3 linked regions of the Oryctolagus cuniculus genome follow. The protein of the gene in region 1 interacts with the protein of each later gene in a pairwise test. Links are inferred from orthologs where the notes say so. Each region holds a gene or a part of one and is shown in the gene's direction. Other genes may lie near its edges.

The links. The genes of interacting proteins can lie anywhere in the genome.
Region 2: the proteins of TRIP10 (region 1) and rho GTPase-activating protein 17 interact in binary tests that used the Homo sapiens proteins (3 or more experiments, as listed by UniProt). The link is inferred for Oryctolagus cuniculus from reciprocal best matches to the Homo sapiens genes TRIP10 and ARHGAP17.
Region 3: the proteins of TRIP10 (region 1) and SH3BP1 interact in binary tests that used the Homo sapiens proteins (3 or more experiments, as listed by UniProt). The two-hybrid records come from large-scale screens. The link is inferred for Oryctolagus cuniculus from reciprocal best matches to the Homo sapiens genes TRIP10 and SH3BP1.

The regions. Positions count from the first base shown.
Region 1 is NC_091447.1:60,898,675-60,908,715, forward strand, and holds the start of TRIP10 (cdc42-interacting protein 4), read left to right. Parts: upstream 1-3,875; 5' UTR 3,876-3,890; coding exon 3,891-4,247; exon of another isoform or gene 4,248-4,410; intron 4,411-4,517; exon of another isoform or gene 4,518-5,080; intron 5,081-5,296; exon of another isoform or gene 5,297-5,397; coding exon of another isoform or gene 5,398-5,421; intron 5,422-6,494; coding exon 6,495-6,610; intron 6,611-6,710; coding exon 6,711-6,767; intron 6,768-8,195; coding exon 8,196-8,343; intron 8,344-8,457; coding exon 8,458-8,520; intron 8,521-8,707; coding exon 8,708-8,812; intron 8,813-8,900; coding exon 8,901-9,029; intron 9,030-9,617; coding exon 9,618-9,764; intron 9,765-9,880; coding exon 9,881-10,041. Other genes in the region: protein GPR108, read right to left, coding at 110-160, 2,962-3,081, 3,648-3,767. UniProt on the Homo sapiens protein: Required for translocation of GLUT4 to the plasma membrane in response to insulin signaling. Required to coordinate membrane tubulation with reorganization of the actin cytoskeleton during endocytosis.
Region 2 is NC_091450.1:14,474,216-14,484,323, forward strand, and holds the start of rho GTPase-activating protein 17, read left to right. Parts: upstream 1-4,310; 5' UTR 4,311-4,439; coding exon 4,440-4,492; intron 4,493-10,108. UniProt on the Homo sapiens protein: Rho GTPase-activating protein involved in the maintenance of tight junction by regulating the activity of CDC42, thereby playing a central role in apical polarity of epithelial cells.
Region 3 is NC_091442.1:114,516,678-114,526,829, forward strand, and holds the start of SH3BP1 (SH3 domain-binding protein 1), read left to right. Parts: upstream 1-4,354; 5' UTR 4,355-4,515; coding exon 4,516-4,574; intron 4,575-4,710; exon of another isoform or gene 4,711-4,852; intron 4,853-4,929; exon of another isoform or gene 4,930-5,306; intron 5,307-5,602; coding exon 5,603-5,645; intron 5,646-5,926; coding exon 5,927-6,031; intron 6,032-6,737; coding exon 6,738-6,814; intron 6,815-7,015; coding exon 7,016-7,127; intron 7,128-7,203; coding exon 7,204-7,280; intron 7,281-7,597; coding exon 7,598-7,742; intron 7,743-8,540; coding exon 8,541-8,609; intron 8,610-8,738; coding exon 8,739-8,829; intron 8,830-9,080; coding exon 9,081-9,226; intron 9,227-9,675; coding exon 9,676-9,787; intron 9,788-9,983; coding exon 9,984-10,065; intron 10,066-10,150; coding exon 10,151-10,152. UniProt on the Homo sapiens protein: GTPase activating protein (GAP) which specifically converts GTP-bound Rho-type GTPases including RAC1 and CDC42 in their inactive GDP-bound form.

The DNA.
Region 1 (10,041 bases):
CGGCCCTGGTTACCCCCACGCTGCTTCCCTCCTCATCCTCCCGCCTCTGGGACAGACCAGGGGAGACAGATGACCCCTCCCCTCTCCCAGTCCCCCACCCTGCACTCACGGAGTAGGAGCGGAGGCTGCCAGACCGGACTCGGCTCAGACTGAAGCCCACCTGGGAGGCAGGAGAAGGGGCAGGATGCAGAGGCCCCCACCATCCCTCAGCGGCAGGGAGAGGGGACCTCACATGTGTTAGCGCCTGCGCGGTCCCCAGATCCCACTCGCCCCAGTTTCCCAAAGCCCAGCCCCCGCAGCCTGGAGGTCGGTCCCTCGGGGAGGCGGCCTCACCCGTCCACCCTCCACGGAGATGACAGAAGCTTGGATCAGAGTCTGGGCCCTCCACTTGCAGGGGGTGTGGCTCTGAGCTCGACCCCTGCCGCTGCCCCTGCCCCTGCCCCTGCCTGCGGCCGGTCCTATCCTCTCGGAACTGGGTGCAGGGGTGTCTCAGGGCCTCCCTGAGGGGACCTGTGGCGATGGCCTTGCAGTGGGGACCTCTGTCCAGCAGGCATCCACAAATGATGTCAGAAACTGGGGCTGTCTTGTCTGTCAGTGTCACCCCGTTCTTACAGTCTAGCAGCCGGTGCAGTCTCAAAGAGGCCAAGGGACTCGCTCAAGATCGGCACTCTGTGTGTGTGCACGTGTGTGTGCACATGTGTGTGGCTGTGTTGATGTGTGTGCGTGCATGTGCATATGTGCATTGGACTGTGTATGCTGGTGTGTTTGTTGGTGTGTGCAGGTGTTGGGTTGTGTGTATTGGTGTTGGGGTGTGTGTGTTGATATATGTATCTCAATATGTTGAGTGTGTGTGTTGGTGTGTGTGTGCATGTTGGGCTGTGTATGTGAGCTGGGGGGTGTTGGTATTGTGTGCTGGTTTTGTGTGTGCATATGTATGTTGAGTGTGTGTTGGTATGTGTGAGTTGGAGGGCTGTGTTGTGTGTGTGTTGGCATGTGTACATGAATTAGGGGTGTGTGTTGGTGTGTATGTGTTCAGAGAGGTATGTGTTGTGTGTGTGCATGGTGGGCTGTGTATGTGAGTTGGGTGTGTGTGTGTTGGCGTGTGTGTGTGTTGGTCTGTGGGGGTGTGCATGTTGGCATGTGTGTATGTGTTGGGCTGTATATGTGACTTGGGGGCTGTGTTGGTGTGTATTGGCATGTGTGTGTGTGTTAGCGTGTGTATGTGACTTGGGGGCTGTGTTGGTGTGTGTGTTGGCAGGTATGTGTGTTGGCATGTATATGTGAGTTGGGTGTGTGTGTGTTGGTGTGTATGTGGTTAGGCAGGTATGTGTTGGTGTGTGTGTGCATGGCAGGCTGTGTGAGCTGGGTGTGTGTGCATGTTGGGGTGTGTGTGCATGTTGGCATGTATATTTGACTTGGCTGTGTTGGTGTGTGTTGGCATGTGTGTGCATGTTGGCGTGTGTGCGTGACTTGGGGGCTGTGTTGACATGTGTGCGTGTTGGTCTGTGGGGATGTGTGTGTTGGTGTGTGTATGTGACTTGGGGGCTTTGTTGGTGTGTGTATTGGTGTGTGTGTTGGCATGTGTTGACATGTGTGTGTATGTGGCTTGGTGGGCTGTGTTGGTGCGTGTTGGCGTGTGTGCGTGACTTGGGGGCTGTGTTAGTGTGTGTGTGCATATTGGTGTGTGTATGTGGCTTGGTGGGCTGTGCTGGTGCATGCTAGCGTGTGTGCATGACTTGGGGGCTGTGTTGGCATGTGTGTGCATATTGGCGTGTGTATGTGACTTGGGGGCTGTGTTGGCGTATGTGTGTGTGTTGGCATGTGTGTGTGCCTTGGGGGCTGTGTTGGTGTGTGTGCGTGCCTTGGGGGCTGTGTTGGCGTGTGTGCGTGACTTGGGGGCTGTGTTGGCATGTGTGTGCATATTGGCGTGTGTATGTGGCTTGGTGGGCTGTGCTGGTGCGTGTTGCGTGACTTGGGGGCTGTGTTGGCGTGTGTATGTGACTTGGGGGCTGTGTTGGCGTATGTGTGTGTGTTGGCGTGTGTGTGTGCCTTGGGGGCTGTGTTGGTGTGTGTGCGTGCCTTGGGGGCTGTGTTGGCGTGTGTGCGTGACTTGGGGGCTGTGTTGGCGTGTGTGTGCATATTGGCGTGTGTATGTGGCTTGGTGGGCTGTGTTGGTGCGTGTTGGCGTGTGTGTGTGCCTTGGGGGCTGTGCTGGTGTGTGTGTGTATTGGCGTATGTACGTGACTTGGGGCTGTGTTGGCGTATATGTGCGTGTTGGTGTGTGTATGTGCCTTGGGGGCTGTGTTGGCATGTGTACGTGACTTGGGGGCTGTGTTGGCGTGTGTGTGCATGTTGGTGTGTGTATGTGGCTTGGTGGGCTGTGCTGGTGCGTGTTGGTGTGTGTGCGTGCCTTGGGGGCTGTGTTGGCGTGTGTGTGCATATTGGCGTGTGTATGTGGCTTGGTGGGCTGTGTTGGCGTATATGTGCGTGTTGGCGTGTGTATGTGGCTTGGTGGGCTGTGCTGGTGCGTGTTGGCGTGTGTGCGTGCCTTGGGGGCTGTGTTGGCGTGTGTGCGTGACTTGGGGGCTGTGTTGGCGTGTGTGTGCATGTTGGTGTGTGCATGTGGCTTGGTGGGCTGTGCTGGTGCGTGTTGGTGTGTGTGCGTGTCTTGGGGGCTGTGCTGGTGTGTGTGTGTATTGGCGTATGTACGTGACTTGGGGCTGTGTTGGCGTATATGTGCGTGTTGGTGTGTGTATGTGCCTTGGGGGCTGTGTTGGCATGTGTACGTGACTTGGGGGCTGTGTTAGCGTGTGTGTGCATACTGGTGTGTGTATGTGGCTTGGTGGGCTGTGCTGGTGCGTGTTGGCGTGTGTGCGTGCCTTGGGGGCTGTGTTGGCGTGTGTGCATGCCAGGCGTGCTCTGGAGCGTGGCACCTGCTTCCTCCTCGGGCAAGCTCCTCACCAGCGGGGACCTCTCTCCCGTCTCCTCCAGGCCCAGCCGCAGGAGGCTCAGCTCCACCTCCAGGGAGCCGTTGGTGTAGAAGCCGAAGCTGTTCAGCTGGATGTCCGCTCGCTTCTCCCCCTGCCGGAGACCAGGGAGGCAGCTCAGACTTCCGCTTCCCGCCTGCCACGGGGCTCTGGGCCCCAGTGCTTAGACAGCCCGGGAGCGAGTCAGGAGAGGCCGTGCCGGGGGACCGAGGACAGCGTGGCCCTGGATGCCCTGAGCGCGGACCTGAGCGTCCAGGAGGACAATCGGGGGGCGCCTGGACGCCCCCCGCTGCGGAACGAGCCCGGGACCCCAGGCAGCGTCCAGGGACCCCCACCCCCTCGGTCCTCGAGCGGCGCCAGGGCTCCCCAGCGTCTCCAAAGCGGCCACAGGAATTTAAAGGGCTAAGAGCCGGGGGAGGGGGGGGTCCCAGGAGATGGCGCCCCCCGCCCCCCACCATCCCGGCGGGGCCGGCCAGGCAGCTCCATCCGCAGGGAGAGAGGGGGATCTCGGGACGGGACCACTCGCCCGGCAGTGGGGGGCGCCGGGCCGCTCCATCCCGCAGAAGGTGCGGGGGAGGTCGGACGAGACCACTTAAGCCGGGGGCTTCTCTGGGACAGCCTCGCGCCCCCCGCCCCCGACCGTCCCGCGGCGGGCCTCACCGTCAGCGCCAGCCGGTGGATGCGCCCGGAGCAGCTGCCCCACAGCAGCAGCAGCAGGAGCCCCTGCCCCCACTCCGCGGGGCTCCCGCGGCCGAGCCCCCTCCTCTCGCTCCCTGCCATCTCTGGAGCTGCCGCCTCCCCTGACACCGCCTCTGACGCCCCCAGGCCCGCCTCCGGGGGAGCCAATCGCCGCACGGTGGGGCCAGGCTCTCCGGACTTTCCAGCCCGTTGAACCAATCATCGATGGCCTCTTCTCAAACCCGCGCCTACGTGACACCAGACGGACAGCACCAGTTCCGAATGGAAGACGTGATACCACGTAGCCCCGCCCCCACGCTCACCAATCACCAGAAAGATCGTCCCGGATATAGCATGATAAGCAGTCCGCCTAACCAATTAGAGCGCAGCTGGCATCCTGCTCTTGAAGCGGAATTCCTCCACCTAACTCTTAACGGTCTAAGACTACACTACCCAGAATGCAGCCAGGAACAGACGAGGGCCACCGAGCACCCAGAAACTACATTTCCCAGCACGCCCCAAGGTCGGACTTCCGCTTCTCACCCTGTGGGACGTGGCTCCCGGCCAGAGCTCTGGCTCTTGGTAAACACACGCAGTCTGTTGAGGCCTGTCCCGTTCTCCTAATCTTCCTGGTCCACGGAGGTTACATCGCGACCCGAGGATGACCTGTGACCTATGACCTCCGCCTCCGCCTCCGCACGAGGACACTGGAGGCTCACTCCGGATCCCCGACGGTTTCCCCTAGCTGCAGCCGGACCCCGAGTTCAGCCTAAAACCTTGGCTCTTCCCCCGCCCCGCCCCGCCCCGCCCAGCCTTTGGGGCTGAGACCCCCGCCCCAACCGTGGTGCTGACCTGGGCTGGGTGTCCCACCAGAGCCGAGCCCCGGTCTCACACGGAGCCGCGAAACCAACCCACCGGGTGCAGCCGCCGGCAGGTGTCCCTGCGCCCTCCGGTCCCTCTGGGGCCCAGACCCCACCCCTGCAGCTCCAGAGAAGGCAGGAGCTGGGGGCCGGGGGCCCGCAGGGCCGCTCCCTTTTATCCTGGCGCCTCGAGGGGACTTACGAGATGCGGACCCTTCTAGGGGGGGGAGGGCGCGGGCGTCCGGGACTCTCGGGGGCCTCGGTGGGCGAAGCTGGACAGTGGGCAGGTGCAGGCAGACTCGGGCCGGAGGGAAAAGCCTGGGCCCCGCGTCCCAAGGACAGCCCGTCCTCGGGTTCCCCTGGGGAGGGAAGGCAGGATGCGGTGGGGGCGCTAATGGACCTGGCAGGATCGAAGTCCTCCATCCGCCCTGCGGCCGGAGGGACCTGACCATTAGTGGGACGAACGTCCACGCCTGGAGCCGGGCCGGGGTGACCTCGGGTTCTGCCTGCAGCACCGTGCAGGGACGACTTCTCGGGCTTGGGGCTTTTCCTGTCCGGGTCCTTTAAGGAACGATCGAAAGGAAAGGCCCGTCTGGGGCGGGGGAGGGGCGTGGTGGGTGGAGAGGGGCCCTCGGGGATTTGAAAATGGGCGGGGGTCCTTTTAAGAGGGGGCGTGGCGCCCTTTGGGCCCCGCCTCCCCGGGCCCCGCCCGCGGTCTCCGCGCAGGGCAGGGGGCGGGGAAAAGCGAGCGGGGGCGTGTCCCAGCCGGGTGGGCGTGTCCGGGGCGGGCGGGGCGGGGTCGGCGCGCCGCCCCGGGCCGAGTCTCGGGGCGGAGGGTGGCGGGCGGCGGCGCCGGCGGCGGCGGGAGCAGCATGGATTGGGGCACCGAGTTGTGGGTGAGTCCGATCGGCGCCTCTCCAAGTTCCGTCTGCTCGGGTTCGGACTCCCCCTCCCCTTTTGTCCCCAGCGGACCCCAGCGGGGGCTGCGGGGGGGCCTCCGCGCTTCCCCTCGCACCGAGCCGAGGGTCTCTGGGCGCCACCGACGCAACGAGTTTCTGGGGGGCGTCACGGAACCCCCGCGGCGGGGGGCGAAAACCCACCTCGCAGGGCGGCCCGGGGAAACTGAGGCACGGGGCCGCGAGCGCGACGGGCCGGAGTCCCCAGGCCAGGCCGGGGCGGCCGGGCGAGGTCACCTATTTTGGGCGTCCCGGCGCGGCCCGCGGCTTATCTTACGGCCCCTGGGTCCCTGCCCGCCGCCCGCCTGTCCGGCTGGCCGTCCCGTGTCCCACGTGGGCCCCGCCAGGGCCGCCCACCTCCCAGGAGCGCCCGGGAGGCTGAGGGCGCCCTCGGAGGGGGAGGGGGCTGCGAGCCCGGGCCCCAGCGATCTTCCAACCCTGCCCTCCCCGGGCCCGGGAAGCCCCAGGGTCGCTCCAGGTCCGGGCCGGACCTAAGACCCCTCCCCTCTCCGGGAGCGGCGAGTGCCTGCGTCTCCGCCCGCACCCTGGTCCCGCACCGTCGGCTCTTCTCCGGGAGCCCGTGGGGAGATGGAGGCGCGCGTGGGGTGCGGCGGGGGGCGCTCGGGGCCTGCCCCCGGGCCCTGCGGGCCCCCAGCTAGCGGCCAGGGATCCCTGCCCTGACTCACGCCGGGCAGGCCGGATTTTCCGGAATCTGGGGGGGATTAGGGGAGCCGGGCGCGCGCGGGGCGGGGGGGTGGACGGTTGTGCAGGGGAGTGGCCTCGCCCCGCTCCACGCCCCTCTCGGCCGCTCGGAGACGGAGACCCCGTCGTCCGGCTGGGGCCCTTTCCCGGGAAGGGGAGGGGGTTCCCGCCAGTTTCCTGCCGGCCCCCGCGCCACTCCGGGGCGGTGCCTGGAAGCCCCTCCTCCGCCGAGCGCGGGGGCCCTGGAGCCGGGCGCGCCGCGAAGTCCCTAGGTCGCGACCCGGGCCCTGCCGTCCCCTCCCCCCCGCCAGGATCAGTTCGAGGTCCTGGAACGCCACACGCAGTGGGGGCTGGACTTGCTGGACCGATACGTAAAGTTCGTCAAGGAGCGCGCCGAGGTGGAGCAGGCGTACGCCAAGCAGCTGCGGTGAGACCCGGAGGGCTGGAGACCCCGTGGCCCGGCCGGGCCGGGTAGGGGGCGGCCGCGGCTCAGGGCGCTCAGTCATCCCGCCTCTGTCTCCCCTTAGGAACCTGGTGAAAAAGTACCTGCCCAAGAGGCTTCCCAAGGATGACCCCGAATCCAAGTGAGGCTGGGGCCGGGGCACGGGGCTAGGCTGCCGGTGGGGGGGCCGCGCGGGGTTCCCTGGCTCGGCTTCTGTCTTTCCTACCTGTTACACGGGGAGGCCCGAGCACTTGTAGAGTGAGTGACCTTGGGCCTGCGGCTTTGGGGCCTCAGTTTTCCTCATCTGAGAAGTGGGCGTGGGAACGGAGCCACTTGTCCTGTTCTGCTCAGGTGAGGCTGAGGGGAGTTTGCCCAGGACTCAGGACCGCGGTCCCCTGCCTGTCCTAACTGTCCCGGGAGCGCTTGACTTTATTCTGAGTTCCTCACTGCAAAATCCAAAAAGTTCTGGGCATCAGCAGTGTGTTTGGTGAGCTGCTAGCCACCTCCAACGTAGGTGAGGCGAGATTATGGTGGCTTTATCTCGCTGGGTGTAAATGCAGCCTTCCCTGGGCACTGTGTCTCAAAATACTTGAATTTTCAAAATCACCTGTGCACTGAACATGCGCAGTCCCACCCCTGTGCTGCTAGTCCCTAAATGATACAGTGTAGCACTCACCTTGTCTAGGAGGCTATGTCAGCTACAGGTGATTTAAGGTGTACAGGAGGGGGCGAGGTAGCCGAGAACACTATGCAGCTTACTTTTTAGAATGCATGGGAGACCAGGAGGAAGCACCTGGCTCCTGGCTTTGGATCGGTGCAGCGCCAGCCGTAGTGGCCACTTGAGGGGGTGAACCAACAGTAGGAAGACCTTTCTCTCTGTCTCTCTCTCTCACTTTCTAACTCTGCCTGTCCAAAAAAAAAAAAATACATTGATTATTTACAGGAAAGCAAGCACGAGATCTCTATCTGCTGGGTTTATACTGCACATGTCTACAACAGCCAGGACTTTGGGGGGAGGGGCTAGAGAGAGAGATCTCTTCCATCTGCCGGGGACAGCCAGGCTGGGTCTCCCACGTGGCCGGCAGGGCCATCACTGCTGTCTCCCAGGGTGCGCATTCCCAGGAAGCTGGAATCAGAAGTGGACCTGGGATTTGAGCTCATGCACTCTGATGTGGAATGCCAGCGGCCCAGGGAGCGCCTTAGCCTGTTGCTAGTGAGGATTTTGGATCCTCCCGGGGTCCTGGAGGCATTGCCCTCCCCTCTACCCCGGGGGATTCTGATGCTGTCACCATTAATACCTCCACAAAGGGCGATTAGTCAGGGTGCAGCCCCAGCCCCACTGGGGCAATGCACACAAGTTCCAAAACCTGTGCCTCTCCTTTCGAAGACTCGAAAATCTCCCAGTTCCGCAGTGCACCTCACTCCCCGGTAGCGCGTGAGGGATGTGGACCAGAACTTGCCACTGCTTCGGGATGGGTGTCTTGGGGGCTTTATCCCACCTGGAGGTGGTGGTGGGGAGTCCGGGGGTGGGGCTCTGACTCCCTGTCCCCGCCTCCCCCACGTCTCCCAGGTTCAGCCAGCAACAGTCCTTTGTGCAGATTCTGCAGGAGGTGAATGACTTTGCGGGCCAGCGGGAGCTGGTGGCCGAGAACCTCGGGTTGCGCGTGTGTCTCGAACTGGCCAAGTACTCGCAGGAGATGAGGCAGGAGAGGAAGATGGTGAGGGCTCCGCGCCCTGGGTCTGGCCGGGGCCGGGGGCCGGGGGGCCGGGGGGCCGGGGTGGGGCTTCGGGAGGACCCTGGTAAAAGTCTCTCGCGGCTCCTCTCCCCCTAGCACTTCCAGGAGGGCCGGCGGGCCCAGCAGCAGCTGGAAACCGGCTTCAAGCAGCTGGAGAATGTGAGTGTGCCGGCTGGCGGGGGCCGCGGCTCCGGAGGCAGTGGCCCGAGCTGCCCTCCCTGCCTGGCCGCGACTGCCTGTCCCCCCCGCCCCCCGCCCCCCGCCCCAGGCGTGTCCCCCACTGTGCTCAGTGACCCCCATCTTGGGGACAGGCAGCTCCTTCACTCCGCTTCCGTCCCTTGTGCAGAGCAAGCGCAAATTCGAGCGAGACTGCCGCGAGGCGGAGAAGGCGGCTCAGACCGCGGAGCGCCTGGACCAAGACATCAACGCTACCAAGGCGGACGTGGAGAAGGTGCGTGCGCATGCGCGGAGCCCGGCCCCGGACTCCGGGCATCTGGATGGGGCGGAGGCCCCTGACGCCTGCCCGCCCCGCCCTTCAGGCCAAGCAGCAAGCGCACCTGCGCAGTCACATGGCCGAGGAGAGCAAGAACGAGTACGCGGCCCAGCTGCAGCGGTTCAACCGCGACCAGGCCCACTTCTATTTCTCACAGATGCCCCAGATATTCGACGTGAGTGCCCCAGGCTCCCACGCCTTCCTTAAAAAAAAAAAAACGAACAAAACAACAAAAAACCCAACTCTTACTCATACGTCAAAACCCCAGCTGCCCGGTTCCCCAACTCCGGGATTGCAAGGGAGCCAGACATGCAGGAAGGACCGGTGTGCTTTCTGCTCCAGTGACTCCTGTGTGCCACAGATGTTTCTCTGTCCTTTGGGAACTCCTGCTCATCCTTTCGAAGCCCCAGCTCTTCCGATCCCTCCGAGAAGGCTCGAGTTTAACCCTGTCTTCTCGAAGGCTACTCCTGGCCCTGGGAGGGTCTTTGCTGGGTCTAGCTCTGCTCCGTTTCCCACTGCCACTCCTTGCCTGGCTGGAGTGGGGAGGCTTTCCCGGCTCCCTAGGCAAGGGGCATCCTCTGAGATGCCCCCCCTCCCCACCCTGTGCCCCCACCGGCCTTGTGTCTCTCCCTGAACTGCATCGGGTGGGAATCTGGTTGCATCTGGGTCTTTTCCACCAGACCGGGCTTGGGGCTGGGGCCAGCGCGAGGAGCATCCCCGTGTTTGCTGAGTGAGTCACCCAGGCCACCTCTGCCCCTTCCAGAAGCTGCAGGACATGGATGAACGCCGCGCCTCCCGCCTGGGCGCCGGGTACGGGCTCCTGTCTGAGGCTGAGCTGCAGGTGGTACCCATCATTGCCAAGTGCTTGGAAGGCATGAAGGTGGCTGCCGAAGCCGTGGACGCCAAGAATGTGGGTGCCTCATCTGGGTCCCATGGGCCGAGAGCCGGGCACAGGGGAGGAGAAGAGGCGCGTCCTCCAGCCCCTCCCCTGACTGCCTCCCCCCCCCCCCCCGTCCCTTCCCCCAGGACTCACAGGTCCTCATAGAGCTGCACAAGTCTGGCTTTGCCCGCCCTGGCGATGTAGAATTTGAAGACTTCAGCCAGCCCATGAACCGCGCGCCCTCGGACAGCAGCCTGGGCACCCCCGCGGACGGGCGGCCGGAGCTCCGCGGCCCTGGCCGCAGCCG
Region 2 (10,108 bases), on another chromosome or scaffold:
GGATCTCGCCGTGTGGGTTCTCTGGTTTGCTGCGTGCAAATCTTCTTCTGCAGACAGTTCTGAGGAAGTGTTAAACCTTCCTTCTCATTCAGCCGTACAACACACTGGTTCTCTTGTTCTTTTGGGACAGAGAGCTGTCATGCCTTTCAGCCCTCGTTTGGAGATAATCGTTGACTTTTTCTGGACTCACTATGTGAGGCAACTTCCTGCGAGAACATTCCAAGTCATCAGCAGGTGAAACTAGCTTTTCCTCCAATATGAGAACTTGGCTAGTGGAGTCAGTATCACTTTTTTTTTTTTCCTGTTAAGACCTTTATGAACAGGTGCTTCAGTTTGTTGACTTTTTTTGGGAAAAAAGTCAAGTTGTAAACTTTTCTTACAGATTAAAGACAGTTATTAAAAATCTCAACTTGAACAGATCTGAAATAATTTTCAAACCTTAAAAGGTATACTTGAGAAAAACGAGAATTTGAAAAAAAAAAGATCTTTAGCTAAAAATAATAAACACCGCGTGCCGCATAGAGAATGGAAATAGTTCTAGTAATCTGGTCAACTGACAAAAAGAAAAGAAAAAGAAAGAGATAAAGAAGAAAGAGAAAGAGAAAAACAAAAAGGAAAAAACATAGTGAGAGTTCGGGCTGTACTATGCCGCTCGCTCCATGCGCCGGAGTTCCACGTCCGTTCGTTGTTGGATGGCGATGGCGGACGACGGCGGCGGCGGCGGCGTGGCGCCCGCAGTCACTCAGCCTGGGCGGCGCCCGGCTTCTCGGCGGCTGGACAGGCGGCTCGGGTCTCCTGGCCGTCGCGGGGTTTGGAGGCGTCAGGGGGCCCGCGTGCGTCACCGCTGTGGCGGTCAGGCGGCTGCAGACCTGGGGCGTCCTCCGCGGGCCGGCTGGGGCGAGGCCGGGCCGTGCGCGCCCCCTCGGGTTGCACGGGAGGCTGGGGGCGCTGCGCTCGTCCGCGCCCGGGGGCTCCCCTCAGGCAGCGAGGGCACAGCAGCCCTCGGGGCCAGCGTGCTCGGGTCTGGCTCTCGGCAGCGCTCTGCGACCCCTCGCTGTCGCTGTCGCTGTCGCGGTCATGGCGCCCAGCGCGCCTCCGCCGCGGGTAGCGTCCGTAATGGCCGCGCTCCGGCGCGTACTGACTGCCTTGCACGGGAGCTCCCCCGGGGCCCGTCACGTTTGCCGCCTCGGCACCCTTCATGCCCTCCACCACGTCCAGCTCCACCGTCTCGCCGTCTCCCACACTGCGGAGGTACTTCCTCGGGTTGTTCTTGGTGATGGCCGTGTGGTGGACGAACACGTCTTCCTTGCTGTCGTGCCTGTGGATGAAGCCATATCCCATTTTGACGTTGAACCATTTTACGGTGCCCAAAACCTTCCTGGCGATGATCTTCTTGTCGCCTGCAGGTGCCAGCCCTGGGAGGCCCTTGCCCGTGGTGCTGGTGGCGGGGATGGTGACCAGGGCTGGCTGCGGCAGCCAGGCCCCCGTGGGGCTTCTCGGGGCTCCCGGGGATCCCATGCCAGCCCGTCCACCTTCCTCATCGGCTGTCTCAGGGACCTCAGCACCTGCAGATGGGAGAAGATGGCCGAGCACTCCCCGCAGCTCCTGGAGTAACTTGTCCTGTAGATGTTGACTCTTGCGCTGCAGGGCTCGCTCTTCCGCGTGCGTCTGCTGCAGCGCCAACAGCACCGCATCTTGCTTGCGCTCGAATGCCAGCAGCTTCTCCGGGATGGACTGGAGCACACGGACGAGCTGCTGTGCTGTTCGCTCTTTCTGCTTCAGCTTCTCCTTCACTGCGTAGCAGTGAAAGTCCCGCTCCTGGAGCTGCATCTGAAGGTTCAGGTTCGAGTCCTGTAAAGCCTTCTCCTTGGTCCTGGCTGTGTCCACTGCGTCCTCCTTCTCTTGGCGCAGTTTGTAGACCTCCATTTCTAGCGCTGACTTGCTTTCTTCTAGGCTCCTCACCGCTTGCCTCAGAGTCGTGTTTTTTCTCACTTTGTTTGCAAGGTGGTTCTTCAGAGAGCGCAGTTGGTCATTTTTGGCTTTAATGAAAAGGCCCTTGCCTGTCACCAGTCTTTGTAAAAAGTCTAGCTTCTTCTTCAGGTGTTCTATCTGAGAAGCCATCTCTTGGTGTTTGCTCATTTCAGGTTGGGCCAAGTGAGTGTCGTCGTCCTCTCTGTCTGTCACAGATGGTGTGGAAAGCTGTCTCAATGCCTTTCGAAGCTCCAGGGACTCGTGTTGGATACTTTGGGCTGGCCTTCTGGCTCGCCCTGCCCGGTCTTCCGTGTACTTCTCTCGATGCTGTGAGAGGCTGTGTTCTTGGAGACTCTCTAGAGAGCCTAGGAGATACTCCTTTCTCAGCCAGCTGTATTCTCCAGCCCAGTCCTTGCCAACGGAGAGTACTTGCTCTCTCTCCCAGGTGTACACTAGGAGGTGTTGCCGAGGATGAAGAGCGCCTTTGGTGTCAATGGACGCAGCTGCCGCAGAGTCCGTGCCCTGCGTCTCCACCTCTGTCACCTCTTGATGATGTTTTATCTCCTCCTCCAGAAAACCGTTGATGACCGTCAGCTGAGAGACCTCAGACAGCAGACTGGCGAGAGCCTTGAGCAGCTCACTAGGTGCACGTTCCCTCTGTCTTGCTTTCTCATTAATTAGGTCTAGTTCTTGTCTCAAGACATTCTCTGTATTTTCGGCAGCAGATACCTTGATGTTCAGATCTTGCACTCTGTCTTCCAGCTCTTGCATGTCCCTGGTGGATTTCAGTTGCTGGGCCTGTTGTTTCTCCAGTTGGCTCTCTAGCGCCAGCTGCCTTGCCTGGAGAAGCTGGATTTCAGCCTCTTTCTCTTGTAAGGTGCGTTGGTACTGGGTGGCCTGCAGGTGGTTCCTCAGCTCTGCTGCCTGGTACTTTTCTTCCAGCTCTCTGCAGAGACTTCTTAGCCTCTCATCTTGCAAGGATTCCACACCCTTCCTCAGCACCCCCTTTGTAACGTCCGATAATTGGCTCCCGAGGGAAGCCACGTTGTCTTTCACGTGCCTCAGGGAGAGGCCTAAGCCGGAGCCAAGGCCACCAAGCCACGAGGACATTGCTGCGGGTCACAGAACTGACCTGGGTCGCTTCGGGAAAGCGTCCAGGGCAGTCGGACAGTCCCGCCAAGTGTCGCCGCCCCAGCGCGCGCTGGGGGCTTATATAGGGCAGAACCACAATGGGCCTTATTCTCCATCACAGGGCCTTGCCCGGAGAGCCCAGGCCGCGCCCACCGGCCTCCGCCCCGTCCCCCCAAAGCCTGCTGGCGCCGTCGGCCCTTGGCCCCTGCTCCCCAGCGCCAGGCGCTGCCGGCACCACACCGCGAAAAGCCCCCAAATAAAGGATCTTTCCCAGAGCGTGTGCGAGCCCCGGTATAAAAAATACAGGGGCTGGCCGGTCTGTCGCCCCCTCCCCCGGCTCGGAATACCCACATTCCACATCCAAGCCTCTGGGTGGAGTCTAGGACCCCCTCCAGAGCCCAATTTCCTGCCCATGCGCAGTAGGGAGGCCGCCAGACCCCTGCCGCCCACGTGGGAGAAGGGACCGAGTGCCTGCCTCCTGGCTTCCGCCTGCCTGGCCCTGTTCTGGCTGTAGCAGGCTTTTGGGGAGCGAACCCTTAGCAGATGCGAGCCTTACTCGCTCGCTCGCTCTCTGCTCTGCCTTTCAAATAAATACAAAAAAATGTTTGTAAGGAGTAATACATGTCACCGTTCCCCTTTTCATTATTGCACTGAGTCGCAACATTGGTGTTCCGCAACCTTGTTATTTTCACCCCACAATCATTTGTTGAATGGAAGGAAGGTTTTCCCACGGTGAAACACAGCCATCTGAGCGGTACCTTCAGAGCGTACTGAAAGAGGTCTACACCCGCGCACAAGCCTGGCGCATGGGAGGCCATCGGCTGTTTCCGTCCCGGGACTAGCCCACATCTTGGAGTTAGGGCCGGTGTTAGTGATTTACTCGTGTGTTGTCCTGTGTCCGTTGTTCGCGGTCTCCTCAGGGTGGTGGGTTTGAAATGATCGAACCCCACCGGACCGTATCGATCTATCGATCAGCTAACCATAAGGGCACCGAGCTGGGGCGCCACACGAGGCGCGGGTTCAGGGACCGAAAGCGACTAGAGCGGTGGTGGCGCGGTGAGGGGCCCCGGCGGGGCGGCCGAGGCTCCCAGGGCCGGCGCCCGGGCCCTCGCTCGCTCTCCTCCCTGGTTCGGCCTGGCTCGGCTCGGCCTCCTCACGGGCAGGCGGGCGGGCGGGCGGGCGGCGCCGCTGGAAGTGACGCGGCGAAGGCGGGGCCGGGCCGGGGAAGCCGCCGCCGCCGCCGCCGCCGCCGCCGCCTGGGCCGGGAAGCGATGTAGGAGCCGCCAGGCCGTCCCCTGCTTCGCCCGGCCCGAGCCCCGCGGGCTGCCGCCGCCGCCATGAAGAAGCAGTTCAACCGCATGAAGCAGCTGGCCAACCAGACCGTGGGCAGGCGAGTGCGCCGGGCCGGGGCGGGCCGGGGCGGGCCGGGGTCGCCTCGGGGTTGGGGGCGGGCGGCCCCTCCTCGGGCCCAGCGGCTTCCCGAGCGGCCTCAAGAGCCCCGCCCGGGGCCCCGCGGAGCTCGGAGTCGGGGGGCTGTGCCGCGCCGGGGCCTGGGCGCCGAGCGAGCTCCGGGCGGCTCCCCCGAGACGAGCCGGGCGGCCCGCTGCCTCCTCCAGGGCCACCCCTCGGGGCTGCGGGCTGCTCATTGTCCCGGCCCGGAGCAGCGTTGCCCTTGCGGGACTAGTAGACCCGATCCTTAGCTTCCCTCTTCGGGGGTCGAGTCTGCCCGGGCTCGCCGCCTCGTGCTGAACCTCCCCCGTCCCTTTCTGTGCCCAGCGCTGTGCAGAGGGGACTTGCCTTGCCAGCCCCTCCCCAGCCCCTTCTCCTGCAAGTGCACGGTGGCCGGAGGGTAGCTAAAGGCTGATGAAAGCCGCTCGGATTTGCTCGGGACATTCGGAGGTGCTGCTGTCTCCAACCCTGGGCTTAGATAGGAACTTTGAGAGCGGCTGCAAGTTCTTGACATTTAGAAATCCGGGGTTGGGAGGAAAAGGATTTTTGGAGACACCTTGTGCCCGTGACACAGTCTTCCCCCTTGGAATTGGAGACGGATGCTTGCTCATCCGTGGCTCTTTGGTGCTGCTGTCACGCTTAAGCAGAATCGTTATTGATTATTAAGTGACAAAAGTGAGCTGGAGTGCGTGGGTGAACAGGATGTCGGAGCAGGAATGATTTGTGGTTTGGAGAACTTCTCAGAGGTGGTTACCATGAGCGCTATCGGCTGGGCCAAGCATTTCAAGGACTTCCAGGGCAGCTGGGCTGTGCTGTAACCCAATTTACTGTTTATTCTGCGAAGAGATATGAAAGTGTGAATTTTTCACAGCTCTTGCTGCAGCTTCTCCTTTTTTTTTTTTTCTTTTAAACAGTAAAGGGGAGTTTGGTTTGGCTGCAGCACGTGGGACACTTCTTTTTCTGTGTGTCTGTGAAAATACTTTTACTTCCTCTTGAGTTTTCTAAATTTGCTTTTTACACTGTTTCGTTTCCTTCAACGTTTTGCTTAGTTTTGTCCTTTTTCTTTCCTTGCCCTGCCGTGGTGTCTTTGGTGGGCCTTTCTCCCGTTTGGAGAGTTAATCCCTGCTCCTGACGTGTGGCCAAGGCTCCTTTGCTGTTATCTGTGGGAAAATTAAAGAAATAATGGCAGGAGGAAGGTGGACGTGAGTAGTAATAGGGGCTGAAGTTTCAAGCAAGGATCTGCAAGTGAATGATAGAAGTCCTTGTGAGTTTGGTGCCTGCATTCGTGCAGTCTAGAATTACTGCTCAGTGCTTAGATGGTCACTTTGGCTGTTTTTTTTTTTTTTTTTTTTTTTTTACATTGTTGTGTCAGGCAAGGAAAGTTTGCTGTTTCCAGGCAAAGTTCTGAGAGCTCTGGGTCTATAAAGCCATTTAGGGTCTCTAGTTCCTGCTTCCTCTTAGGCTTCTCCTCTCACACTTTAAATTCCAGCCTAGCTTGCCTGCTTTCAGTTTCTAGGGGAGGCCGTGCTTTCTTCATTTCTGACCTGGAACTCTGGGAAGTCTGTCTCACCACACCTTGCCTGTGGCCACCTCAGTCTTCAAGTCTTCCTTTAGAGGTCTCTGTGCCTCTGGAAGCCTTCCGTCCCGGGTGTTTCCTATTCCCCTGCACCCCTGCTTTTCTGTAACCTGGTTTCCCCCTGTCTGTGCTCTCGGTGACACTGAACACCTTGAGAGTCCTTGCTGTGTTGCCTTTCATGCCCAGGGTCAGCTATGGGTCCTGCCACATGATAGATGCTCATTGAACGCTGTTAACTCCAGGATTCTGGTTCTTACTGGATTGCCCTGGTGGTGTGGGCTCCAGTATGGGAAACGGTGAACTAAATAGAGGGGTGATTCATGCTGGAAGTGTAATTCTGGATCTGATCTTTGACTTTGTTTGAAAATCTTTATTGCTAGATGCCAGTGGAAGCTGCAGCTATTGCAGAGCTATTAAGGGTGTGGTGTTTATGCACCCAAAGTCAGAACATCTGTCTACACTGAGGAACCTGTTGCATTTCTTACTTGCTGATTTCCTAGATATTTTTGTATTTTTTTTCCACTTAACATCATCACAAAAAACTAGGAAAGAAAAAAAATGGAAGCAGGAGAGAGCCCCCGAATGCCTAGTTCTTGGAAGCAGATGGATGGTGTGTATCAGAATCAGGATCCTGAATGTATTTGGGTAAAGATGAAGGCTAGAAGCCTAGAAGATCCCGCACCCCCCCTCCGCCCTTCATGATCTGGGTGGAGAAGGAAGCTCTACATGTGAGTGGCATGCCCCTTGGTTGGTGGTGTCTTGCAATGAAGTCTTCTCCCTAGCATGGAGACCTTGTGACTAACCCCACAGTGGGGCTCCTTGGGATGGACGTGTGGAGAGTTAGTAATGCCTGGACGAGTGAGTACTCATGATGCAATTTGTTTACGATGGGTGGGTGAGACTGTGCGAGAAGATGGTCTAGTGGATCATCGGGGCAAAGCTTGGGAGCTGGGGTCCTGATGTGGTGTCCCAAAGAGGAGACGTGGGTGGTTCTTCTAGTCCACTGCCTTTGTTGATTGAGGCATTCAACAGGAGCTTGTCAGCCCAGACTGTTCCCCCTTGTACATTAAAGAATAAGGGTGAATGCCTGGTTTCTGCCCTGAAGGAGCTCAGTAGATTTGTAGAGGAGATAGGGAAGCAGAACATAATTATGTCCAGGAGATAAGTGCAAGGCCGATGCAGAGGGCAAAACCTAGCTGTGACTGGGTGGACTGAGGTCGCCCAAGTTTTCCAGAGGAGAAAGTATGAGCAGAGCCTTTGATTTTTCCTCCATCTTTAAGCACTTTCAGGTTTTTCTTGTACTGACTGTGTCTCTTTGGGTGGAAGGAAATCCAATTCAGGTGCCTTGACCAAAGATAGAAATGGGCACATAAATGACCAAAGGAGACCAAGAGTAGTGTGGCTTCATAGTTCGCTGGAGCCAGAGAGTTCCACTCCTTACTAGGCAGTGTCCACAGGGAGACCCCCTGCCCCCGACAGTCTCCCATTGTCCTCAGTTGAAGTCACAGAGGGAAAGAATATTTTTCTCCTGGTCCCTGTCGCCAGAATCCCAGGATTGGCTCTGAATGCCTTTGAGTCATAGGCTTTGCCTGGAAATGGAATGGTGTCAGCCCCACCCCAGCCCTATGGACTGAGGGTAGAGGAGTGCTGCCTCCCCAGGGTAAACTGGGTGCTGTTACCGGCCAAAGGGGAGAATGTGTGTGGGTCAGGCAAGCATGGACATCATACAGTGTGTTCTGCAGTCCTGCTGGAATGAACAAGAGATGTTTTGTTTCTTGAAAACCTTTAATGAAGGCGATCCGGTGGACACGGATGGTGCTCTCGGGCAGGCCACATCTTAAATGGGGAAGGTGTACACCAGGACCAGGAGCTTGGTGTTATGGGAGGTGTCAAGGAACGGAGGAATCTGAGGGATGGAACTAAGAGGGCACAGTACCCAGGCTCCGGGAGGGAGCATCTCCCTGGGTATTGATTCCGCAGTGACCAGTTTCCCCTGGAACTCGGAATGCTTTTCCAGATGGTTGTCTTTAGATAAGCCAAGGTTAGAAACCCAAATGCCTGGAGGGCCAGGCTAGTAAAATCAATGTCTGCTGTGAGCCAGGTAGGAATGTGGACCCTGTGTGCCCTGATCTTTGGTGTTTTCAAGAAAACCTTGAAATCTGGACTTCAGTGAACGATAGGCGGGCATTCGTTTCAAATTCAGCAACCCCCATGATGCTACAGGGGTTCTTCAAGACCTTGTGCCAAAATGGAATTAAAAGTTAAGCTCATTTTGTTACAAAGCTGTTTAGAAATCCAGGCATAGTTTTCCTACAGTGTGAAGACCCCTTGTACACGGAACTAAACAAAATGCTTTGAGGCCACATGTGGCCAGCTGTGGCCATAGTAGAAAGCTGGATTGGAAGTAGAGCAGCCGGGACTCGAACCGGTACTCATATGGGATGCCGGCACTTCAGGCCAGGGTGTTAACCTGCTGTGCCACAGCACCAGCCCCAAGCAGTATTTCTCAGAGTGGACAGGTAGGTGTGCTCTGCTTCTGGACCAGGCGTTCCATCCAGCGTCTGCATTGAGTTGGGGTGGAAAGCGGCCCTGCATCTTTGCAATGTCTTTTTAGTCTGATCTGCCATGGCCTTGTTGTTACATGTATGTTGTGAAATCCTAGAATATCAAGAGTATTTCTAGATGAGTTGGGAAAAAAACCAGATGTGAAAGGATGTGATCATGTTGGCATCATCCTTTGTGAATCACAAACTTTGTGGGAAATGCACATTATCTTTTAATTCTCCTTGTCTGTGAACCTCTCAGAGTGCCCTTGTGTTGTGAACTTGCCCTGCGTCTGAGGTTTTTAGTTAAACCTGGAGGGTTTGACCTGGGGCCCCAGAGTCAGTGTGTGCACCGTGAGTTCTGTCGGATCACGGTTGTTTTGTGTGCGTCCTTCTCTTTCTCAAATACAGGTAGATGCTGTAGTACTTAATCAGCTACAGATCCCTTTCAGAATATGGTTACACCCCAAATTGTTTGTGTGTATTGTTTACTTAAATGTAGTTATTAAAAGTAAATTCACAGGGGGCCAGCGCTGCGGCTCACTAGGCTAATCTTCCGCCTGCAGCGCTGGCACACCGGGTTCTAGTTCCATTCAGGATGCCAGATTCTGTCCCGGTTGCCCCTCTTCGAGGGCAGCTCTCTGCTGTGGCCCGGGAGTGCAGTGGAGGATGGCCCAAGTCCTTGGGCCCTGCACCCCATGGGAGACCAGGAGAAGCACCTGGCTCCTGCCATCGGATCAGCGCGGTGTGCTTGCTGCAGCGCCCCGGCTGCAGCAGCCATTGTGGGGTGAACCAACAGCACAGGAAGACCTTTCTCTCTGTCTCTCTCTCTCACTGTCTACTCTGCCTGTCAAAAAAAATTAAAAAAAAGAAGGAAAAAAAAAAAAAAGTAAATTCACAGGGACTGCTGCCTGCAACGCCAGCATCCCATGCTAGCACCGGTTAGATCCTGGCTGCTCCACTTCCCTTCCAGCTCTCTGCTATTGGCCTGGGAAAGCAGCAAGACATGGCCCAAGTGTTTGGATCCCTGCCACCCACGTGGGAGACCCAGATGAAGTTCATGGCTCCTGGCTTTGGCTTGACTTGGTGCCGGCTGTTGTGGCCCTCTGGAAAGTGAACCAGTGGATGGAAGATCTGTGTGTCTCTCTGTCTCTCCCTCTCTCTCTGTACCTCTTTCAAATACATTTCTTAAAAAAAGTAAATTCACAGTCCCTAATCTGAAACCTTTGGGGCCAATGAACTTTAGAATTCTGAAATTTTCAGGTGTTGGCAGAGTAATGATGGTCATCAATGGTATCTTCAATGGGCCTGGGGCACACCAGCAGTCAAACATACTGTTAATTTTATAGTGAAATGTATGAATCTAGCCACACTAAATGGAAACATAAAGCTTATAAATAGCCTCATGTCAGTTCAGGTCAAGTGTTGTTGCCAAGTG
Region 3 (10,152 bases), on another chromosome or scaffold:
ACCACAGCACACGCTGCTCGCGGGCACGCAGCAGCCAAGAGAGCTGGAGAGGCCCCGCCGGCCCGGGCACCAGCCCCCACCTGGTCTCCTGGTGCCCCCTACCCGCCTTCTCTGTGTGCCTCCTGGCAGGGCACAGGCCCAGCACAGGTGGACCAGGGATGCCAGCCCCAGGCCTGGCGCATGCCACGGTGCTGCCTGCAGTCTCTGGTTCCCTCACTGCTCAGATAAAGGCCTCGCGACTCGGGACAGGCTCAAGAGCAGGTGTCCACTACGGGGTCACACTGCCCCTGCCTCCTGAGCCCCCACCCCCACCCACTGCTCCGTCAGCCCGGCCTGCCCTCCTCAGGGGCTGTGGTGAGGGGTGCACAGCCCCGGGGCTCCCTGGAAAGTCCCTGTAGCTTGGGGAGGGGAAAGTCAGTTCTCAGAGCTGCAGAAAGCAGGTGTGGGAGGGGTGGGGGGCGCCACTCAGCGGGCAGCACCGACGCGGCCACAAGCACGCAGTTCATCCCCGTGTCTAAAACGGGCTGTTTTTGCTACACCGCCTTGGCCACTGGCCACTGGCCACGCTGCCCACATCCCACTCCGGCTTCACCAGCAGGCACTACCCGGGGTGTCACAGGTTTTCCCAGGCAAATCTGAGGTCACTGGGCCCCTTGATGTAGCCACAGAGGTTGAGGCCGGCCAAGGGCAGCACCGCCGGAGTTCCCGGGCAGGGCACTTGGGCTCTGCGGGAGGCCAGCTGTGGGCTTTTGTGGGCCCGATGGGCTTTCCAAGTCAACCTGTAGCAGCCAGCCAGCCAGCCGGCCGGCCACCTCGGGCAGGAGCCTGGGATGGGCCCGGCAGGCATTCGGCCCAGCAGTTAGGACGCTGGTCGGTGCGCCACCTCCCGTCGGGAGATGCAGGCCCTGGGAGGCCGCAGCAGTGGCTCCAGTGGTTAAGTTCCTACCTCAACACCTGGATTGCATTCCCGCTTCCAGCCCCAGCCCCTGCCCCGGCCCAGCCCCTGCCCGGCCCCTGCCCCGGCCCTGGCCCCGGCCCCGGCCCAGCCCCTGCCCAGCCCCTGCCCGGCCCCTGCCCCTGCCCCGGCCCAGCCCCTGCCCCGGCCCAGCCCCTGCCCCGGCCCTGGCCCAGCCCCTGCCCCGGCCCAGCCCCTGCCCCGGCCCTGGCCCCAGCCACTGTGGGCGTTCGGAGAGTGACCCAGCAGACAGGCGAGCTCGCTCTCTCCACCCCCCCCAAATAAATGGGGCAATGACACCGCCTCACTGGAAGGTGTACCAGGGCACGTGACAATACGTTGCATGGTCCACCCACGGCAGCTGAGCACAGTAGGGGGTCACAGAGGCAGAACCGGGGTGAAGAGGTTTTCCATCCCTGACCTGGTGGACTGAATAATGATGGTAAACACTACCAGGCATTGTCCTCTTCTTTTTTAAAAAATATTTATTTGAAAGGCAGAATTACAGAGTGAGAGACTGAGCTTTCATCTGCTGGTTCATTCCTCAAATGCCCACGTGGCCAGGGACAACCCAGGCTGAAGCCAGAGGCCAGGAACTCCATGCTGGTCTCCCACGTGGATGCAGGGGCCCAAGCACTTGGGCTGCCACCTGCTGCTTTCCCAGGTGCATTAGCAGGGAGCTGGACCAGAAGTGGAGCAGCCGGGACTTGAACTGGTGCCCATATGGGATGCCGGCGCTGCAAGCAGCGGCTTTATCCATTATGCCACAGCGCCGGCCCTGCCAGCATGTTTCCGAGGACTGAGCTAGTTACTGCTGTGTTTCCATTTCACACAGGAGACACTGGGCCTCCGAGAGATGAGCTGGACCATCCCAGGCCACCCAGCTCACGAGAGGCTGACCCTGCGGCTGTGTCCATCTGCACCTGTCGGCCCTGTCCTAGCGGCCTGCAGGGTACAGTTGAGCGTCCATTGACGGTGCCGTCACCTGCCGTGACTGTCCGCTCCCCAGACCACGGCCCAGTGCAGGGGCCCAGGGGATTCACCGAGAGCCAGCTGAGCCCCAGGCAGGAGGCCCTGGAGGAAGGGCCCCGGGAGGCTCGGCAGGTGACCGCTCACGTCCCCCGTCTGCACGCACAGTTCTAAAACGCCAGGATCCCAGCACCAGTTGCCTGCAGCTTCTGAGTCCTCAAGATTCGCATTATAGCTGGGATCCAACCTCCCTGTCTGAGCAGGAAAGGCCCTGACTTGTCCCCAGTCCCCAGCCAAGTCACGCAGCAGCCCCACCCAGGTCACGCCCAGCAGAGCTGGGCGTGTCTCCTGCCCAGGACTCCTGGGTCTGGCTGGGGGGACCTCGGAGCAGGGGGACCTGGTCATGAGGCTCCAGCCCTTCCATGGCAGCTGCTGCGACAGCCCCAGAGGATGGATCCCATGCCGGACCAGAGCTCCAGAATTCAGCCTAGACAAGCTGGGGGGGGGGGGGGGGACACGGGTCCAAGTCTGGCCTCCGGGGACCTTCAGAGCAGCTGGGGAACTGCAGGGCCCGGGCCCAGTGTGGGCCAGAAGGGGAGGGCACAGTGAAGTCCACAGACTTGGAGGCGCAGGGAGGGGGGGGGCGGCGCCTGGCGTCTCCAGTGCCCTCACGCTGCACTCGGTAGGTTGTGCCCATGGCAGGGCCAGGGAAACGGGGCCACCTGGAAGTCTGGGGATTGACCAGTGGGGAAGGTGGAGAGGAGAGGACTGGAACCCACACGTTCCAAACTCCAGCTCACCACTTCAAGGAGCCAGGTCTAGTGGCTGCTCCACTTCCGATCCAGCTCCCTGCTAATGCGCCTGGGAAAAGCAGTGGAGAAGGGGCTGGTGCTGTGACATAGCAGGTAAAGCCTCCGCCTGCAGTGGCAGCATCCCATATAGGCACCGGTTCAAGTCCTGGCTGCTCCACTTTAGATCCAGCGCTCTGCTATGGCCTGGGAAAGCAGTAGAAGATGGCCCAAGTCCTTGGGCCCCTGCACCTGCATGGGAGACCCGGAAGAAGCTCCTGGTTCCTGGCTTCGGATCAGCGCAGCTCCAGCTATTGTGGCCAGTTGGGGAGTGAACCAGCAGATGGAAGATTCTCTCTCTCTGCCTCTCCTTCTCTCTGTGTGTAACTCTGACTTTCAAATAATAAATACATCTTTAATTAAAAAAAAAAAGAAAAGAAAAAGAAAGAAAACCAGTGGAGGATGGCTCAGGTGCTTGGGCCCCCCCGCCAGCTACGCGGGAGACCCAGATGAAGCTCCTGGCTCCTGGCTTTGGCTTGGCTTGGTCTTGACCATTCAGGGAGTGAACCAGTGGATGGAAAAATCTCTCTCCCTCTCTCTCTGTAACTCCAATGTTCAAGTAAATAAATCTTAACAAACAAGGAGGACCCCAGGGCGCTGGCGTTTCTCTCATTCCCCAAGCCCTGCCTTCTTTCTGGAACACCCCCCCACCCCCCTACCCCCGTCTCCTTGCGGGAAAGGGGAGGTGGGAGAGGGCCCTTCCTTGGCCCCTCCCACTTCCACCAGGTGGGCTTTAGCTTCTGGTTCCCCAATCAGAGGCTCTCACGGTGGGGGGGGGGGGAGCCCGCTCAAGTCTCCCCTCAGGGATGGGGGGGCACTGGGAATACAGAGGGGTCCGAAGGGCCCATTGGGGGAATCAGCACACAGTAGGTGCTCCAGTGGTTCCCCCCCCCGGGGGGCACCTGGGGCTCTTGTACTAACAGGCAGTTATGCAGCGCCTACTGCATGCCCAGCTCTGTTTTGGGGGGAGGGCCCGTCAGCCCCTGCTCCCTGTGGGCAGCAGCACCCACTTGGTTGCCTTTCAGAGAGGAAAGATGGAGCTGAGCCCCCCCACCTCCCCGGGGCGGAGAGAGGCAGGGCTCTGCAAGGGGAGGAGACTGTCCAGGCTGGGCCCATAGGTGTGGGGGCTGCAGGGGCGGGGTCTGTGCAGGCTCCCGCCCGAAAGGAGGCCGGGGAGCAGAAGCCTGGAGCTGGGAGGCTGGAGGAGTGGGTGGGCTCTCTGGTCCCTGCTGAGGGTCGGCTGGGCCAGGACAGTAGTTGGAGGCAGCCGGCCCAGGATCCCCCGGGTGCCCAAGCTCCCAGACAGGCCAGCGCTGGTCCCAAAGACCTGTCTCTCCTAAGCACGAGGCCCTCTTTACCCTTTAAGACAGGGGCAAAGGTCCCTTCTGCCCGGGGGCCCGCGGGCGGCAGGCGGCGGCCGGAGCCGGCTCACCTGCTCCCCGCCGCCCGCCGGGCGCGCGCGCCAGCACCACCTGTGGACGGCCGGGCGGGCGGGCGGGGGGCCCGGAAGCCTGGGGAGAGCGAGGAGGCGAACTCGGAGAGAGGAGTGACCTGGGGGCCGGGGCGGAGCCGCGAGTGGGGGAGGAGGCAGCCGGCGGCGGCGGCGGCGGCGGCGGCGGCAGCGGCGGCGAGCGAGCCCGTGGCCCAGGAAGCGAGCGCCGCGGCGGCCAGGCAGGCTGGGCTGGGGGCTGCCCGGGCCCTCGACCCCCCGAGCGCGACCCACAACCCGCCGCCGCCCCCAAGATGATGAAGCGGCAGCTGCACCGCATGCGGCAGCTGGCCCAGACGGGCAGCTTGGGACGGTGAGTGCCAGCCCCCGGCGGCGCCCACTCCCCGCCGCGGGACCCGAAGGGGCGTCGAGGGGCGCGTGTGGCGGGGGAGGCGGCTGGGCAGCGCTGTGGCCGGCCTGAGTCCTGCTCTTTTTCTCTCTCCCCGGAGCCACCCCACTTCCCAGGAGGAGCGGACTGGCCTTTGCGGGAAGGGGCGCCCCCGCGCCTGACTGGAGGGGCTCCCTGGGCAGAAGAGGCCGGCCCAGGGCGCTGGGACCGCTCTGCCTCCATGAGCCTCCCCGGCCTCCCAGGTCGGCTAGGACAGTGGCCACAGCGAAGCCCCTCTGCCGGCTGGAGGAAGGGGAGGGGTGGACGCGGGGGCCCCAGCCCTTGGGGGAGGGGAGGAGGCAGGGGCCTGGCCTGGCGGGAGGAGGGGCCTCCTTGCAGTGCCCCCTCCCCCGCCCCAGCTGCTTCTGCTTTTCCAGGCTCAGGTGGAAAACACACTCAGGTCCCCGGGTTCTCACCTCAGCCCGGAGCTGGTGGAGGGGAGGCCGGAAGTCCGGGGAGGCGCTGAGGGCCTGTCGCCGCCGCTCCTCTTCCCCCAGCCTCCAGAGTTCCCCATTCTGTGGGCCAGGGCAGGGGCTGGGTGTCCCCGGACCTGCTGTGGCCTCCCGCCAGCACAGACCCCAGTGCCTGCTGGGGACACAGCAGGGGCCCAGGGCCCGCCCTGGGCAGCCCTGCCTGCAGCTACAGTGCAGAGTCCCTGTGAGTGACAGCCCAGGCAGCAGCTCCGGCACTTCTTCTTGGGGGGCTGATGATGTGAGGGGTGGGCAGAGGAGAGCCGCCCCCTGCCCAGCCGGCGAGGACACGGCCCTGGGTGGAGGAAGGCCCGTGCCGCCCTGTGGAATGTGCTGCCCCTGGAATGTGCTCCGACTGGGATGAGGCTGCCGGGCCACCCAGGGTGGGCCCACCTGGGAGAGGCCCTGCACGCAGCTGGGGGGCAGGGGGAGGCAGGGGGCTTCCAAAACTGGGGGGGGTGCTGAGCTAAAGCTGTCCCGCAGCACGCCGGAGACAGCCGAGTTCCTGGGCGAGGACCTGCTGCAGGTACGTGCCTGGGCCGGCAGCGGGTGGGAAGACAAGCCCACGCAGGCTGTCAGAGCCAGGGCAGGGCGGGGACACCAGCTGGGGACCCAGGTTGAGTCATTCCCCAACTCTGCTGGCCACCAGATCCCCAGGAGGAGGGAACTGAAGGTGGCTCCAGCTCCTGGTTGCGGCTGGGGGTGGGGATGTCGTGGCATAACAGCCTCCCATAATCCTCCACCCCTGCCTCCCCACACACACCCCTGCCTCCCCACACACACCCCTGCCTCCCCACACCCCCCCAGGTGGAGCAGCGGCTGGAGCCCGCCAAGCGTGCTGCCCACAATGTGCACAAACGGCTGCAGGCGTGTTTGCAAGGCCAGAGTGGGGCGGACATGGACAAGAGAGTGGTGAGGGTCCCAGCGGGCAGGGGCTGAGCTCCGAGGGGGCCCCGGGCTTCCCTGCCAGTGGGAGCCGCTGGCACCGAGGGCCTGGCGACTGCCCTGTCCCGAGGCCCTGTGTCTTCCCCGTGCCTTTCCTGACGCTGCCTCCTTCTGCATGGCTCCCCACCCTCTGCAGTCTGCCTGTGCTCCGTGGGGCAGCCCGCGAGGGCTTCCTGGAGGAAGTGGCATTGGGGCTGGATCTTGAGGGATGCTCGCTGATTCCTGCTAGGCCGTCGCTAAGACGCATGCATGCCTGGCCGCGCTGAGCGCTGGCAAGGCCCTAGAGGAGGAAGTGGGGGCTCACGGCGAGTTGCTTGCCCGGACCCCAAAGCTGGGGCTCCCATGCCTTCAGGGGGGTCGGGGGAGCGCATGTGTGGGACTCCGTGTGGCCAGGACACCGTGGGCAGGCGGCCTTGGAGGGTGTGAGCCAGGCTCCTCCAACCCTGTGACCTGAGCAGGCTTCGTGCCCTCTGCCAGCCTGGGAGAGCTCGGCCCCTCCTTCTTGTCCAGGGCCCTCCCCTTGCCACCGTGTCTGGGGTCACCCAGGGACTCATCTGTGGCTGTGGCCCTCCTGGGCTCCCTCGTCCCCTGTCCCGGGGCTGACCCAATGGCTCGGACAGGGGGGTGGGAGTCCAGCTGTCAGGCTCACGGCCGTCTGCCCCGCCCCCTGCAGAAGAAGCTTCCTCTCATGGCTTTGTCCACCACGATGGCCGAGAGCTTCAAGGAGCTGGACCCTGACTCCAGCATGGGGTGAGCTCACGACGCAGTCGGGCTGGGAGGGGGCCCCTCTGGTGGGGACAGTGACAGTGTGGGGGTCAGGGAGGGTGGCCAGGCCTGGGAGGGCGTTGGGCCTGGTGGGATTGGCGGAGAGCTGGGAGGGGTGCCCCCTGAGCATTTGCAGATGGACGCGGGGCCCGGCGAGCCTGGGCCCACTGGGCGCTCCGTCCCCAGGAAAGCCTTGGAGATGAGCTGTGCCATCCAGAACCAGCTGGCCCGCATCCTGGCTGAGTTCGAGATGACGCTGGAGAGGGATGTCCTGCAGCCACTCAGCAGGCTGAGTGAGGTGACTGAGCCCCCGCGCCCGCGGCCCCTCGCGCCCCCTCCTCCTGCCCACTGAGCCCTCCCCACATCCGCCCCAGGAGGAGCTGCCGGCCATCCTCAAGCACAAGAAGAGCCTGCAGAAGCTCGTGTCGGACTGGAACGCCCTCAAGAGCAGGTGCGCGCCTCCGCCGCCGGGGCGGGGGGAGGGGCCGCACCAGGTCACGCCACAGGGCTGGCCACGGAGCTGGAGGCCCTTGCCACAGGGGGAGGATGCTGCAGGGCCCGCACGTGTGATGCGGTACATGCACGTGACAGCTGTGGTGACCCCGAAGCTTAGGGGAGCTGTAAACAGTCCCCACCAGATCCCTGGATGGCTGTAGTTACCAAAGGCGCCACCAGGGAGCGCCCCCGCGCCCCCGTGGCCAGGGAGCTCTGAGGTCTGCAGCCCCGCTGGACAAGCCAGTGACCGCCCCACCTCGGGGTCTTCCCCAGGCTCAGCCAGGCAGCCAAGAACTCAGGTAGCAGTCAAGGGCTGGGCGGCGGCCCGAGCAGCCACAGCCACACCACGGCAGCCAACAAGGTGGAGACACTGAAGGAGGAGGAGGAGGAGCTGAAGAGGAGGGTGCAGCAATGCAAGGTGGGTGCGGGGTGTGGCACAGGGGCCTCCCGGGGGGGGGGGAGGGTGCGGGGGGATTCTCTGGGGGGTGAGGGTGCGGGGGGATTCTCTGGGGGGTGAGGGTGCGGGGGGTTCCCTGGGGGTGAGAGTGCGGGGGGGTTCCCTGGGGGGTGAGGGTGCGGTGGGGTTCCCTGGGGGTGAGGGTGCGGGGGCTCCCAGGATGGTGAGGGTGCAGGGGGTTCCCTGGGGGTGAGGGTGCAGGGGCTCCCTGGGGGGTGAGGGTGCGGGGGTGGGTTCTGTCCCTGACTCAGGGGGGCAGAAATGGGCTCAGAGAGGTGACGTGACTTGCTCAAGGCTACTGAGCTGGGGGGGCAGCAGAGCTGGGGTTTGAACCCTGGCAGCCAGGCTCCAGGGTCTGCATTCTTGGCCCTGACCTTGGAACTGCCTCTGTCTATACCGCGGGCACAGCTGTCTCTGTCTATACCACATGCACAATCTCTGTCTACACCCCTTGCATAGCCGCCTCTGTCTACACCGCGGCCATGCCCCCCGGGAGGCGGGTGCATTTGATGAGTGCGTGAGTGAGCAAAGAGTGAGGATGGGGCGCTGTGCTAAGGAGGTGGAGACACAGAGATGGGGCTGAGAGGCTGAAGCCCCCAGGAGCTGCAGGGGTTTCTTGAGCCGGTCCCAAGCACAAACCTCCGCTGAGGGCGGCCAGCTGGCTGGGACCGCAAGTGCAGCTGTGTGGCCTGGGGTGGGTCACGGACCCCTGCCGGCCCCCCACTCACTGGGTGGGCTTCCCCCTGCTCTGTCCCCAAGGACGAGTACCTGGCCGACCTGTACCACTTTGCCACCAAGGAGGACTCCTACGCCAACTACTTCATTCAGGTGACCCCAGGACCGCGCCGTGGCCGCGCGCAGCTGAGGGGCCGGGTGCCCGAGCCCTGGGGCGGCGGCAGGGAGAACGGGGCCGCAGCTGTCCTCACTGCCCCTGGGGGTGGCCCTTTGTCCCCACAGCTCCTGGAGATTCAAGCTGATTACCACCGCAGGTCGCTGAGCTCCCTGGACACAGCCCTGTCTGAGCTGAGGGAGAACCACAGCCAAGCAGGTGGGGGTGGCCCCGCCCCGGGGAGCCACGGAGGAGCTGGGAGTGGGGGAGGCCTGGGCGTGACTTTGATGGCGAGGTCGCTTCTGCTGCTGTGGGGGTGAGGGGAGCAAGGGAGCAGGACCAGAGCCAGAGCTGGGAGGTGGAGCGGGGAGGTGGCGGCCAGGCCTAGGGCAGACACGGGGGTCGGGTGTGGGGAGAGTGTGTGTCTGGGGTGGGCGGCCCCGGGCCTCTGATCTGTCTCGTCCCTGCAGACCCCTCCCCCTCGATGACGGCCGCCCCCTTCTCCAGGGTGTATGGGGTGTCGCTGGGGACGCACCTGCAGGAGCTGGGCCGCGCCATCGCCCTGCCCATCGAGGCCTGCGTCCTGATGCTGCTCTCGGAGGGCATGAAGGAGGAGGTGGGGCCCCTGGGGCCCTCGTGCCGTCCCCTGTCCCAGCAGAAGGCATGGCCTCCTGGCGCTGAGCCGACCCTGTCCCCGTGCCCGGCTGGGCCAGGCACCACGCTGTGGGCCCTTTGCATTCCTGGCTCCCCTTAGTGACCCCACTGACCTCAGGGCTCTGTTTTATAAGGAAGGACGGAGGCAGAGGGAAATCGGCCCAAGTGGCTCGTGAGAACCCTGAGCCATGGCTGCTGCGCGCTGGCCCCTGCCTGTCCCCTGGCTCACCTCCTGAGGCCAGGACAGAGCCCAGGCCCCTTCCTCCCCGCCGTGTCCCGCCATCCTCCCCAGCCCCCACCCTTTGCCCCAAGTTCTGCTGGACCTTGGGAGTTGAGGGCGCCCACAGATTGGGGGCGCCGCTGAGCCTGCCTCGCGCCCCCCATGACCCCCTCTTGTCCTCTCGCACTCAGGGCCTCTTCCGGCTGGCCGCCGGGGCCTCCGTGCTAAAGCGGCTCAAGCAGACCATGGCTTCAGACCCGGGCAGCCTGGAGGAGTTCTGTTCCGACCCCCACGCCGTGGCAGGTGCCCGATGCTGGGGGGTGTGGGGGGCGGGGCACAGCTGCCTGAAAGGATCCCCGTGAACTCCCTGCTCCCCGGGCCGGGATAAAACCCTCACTTTCCCAAAAGCACCCGTGACCCAAAGAAACTCAGACCTGGCTCCATGCAAGCCAGGGCCGGAGTCAGGCTGGGCACTGACCCGCCCCCGTCCCCACGGCAGGTGCCCTCAAGTCCTACCTGCGGGAGCTGCCAGAGCCCCTGATGACCTTTGACCTCTATGACGATTGGATGAGGGCAGCGAGGTGAGGCCGCGGGGAAGGGGCAGCGGGAAGCAGGTGATGCCGGGGCCTGGCCGGGGCTGGCTCACCTGCTCTCTCTGCCCCTCAGCC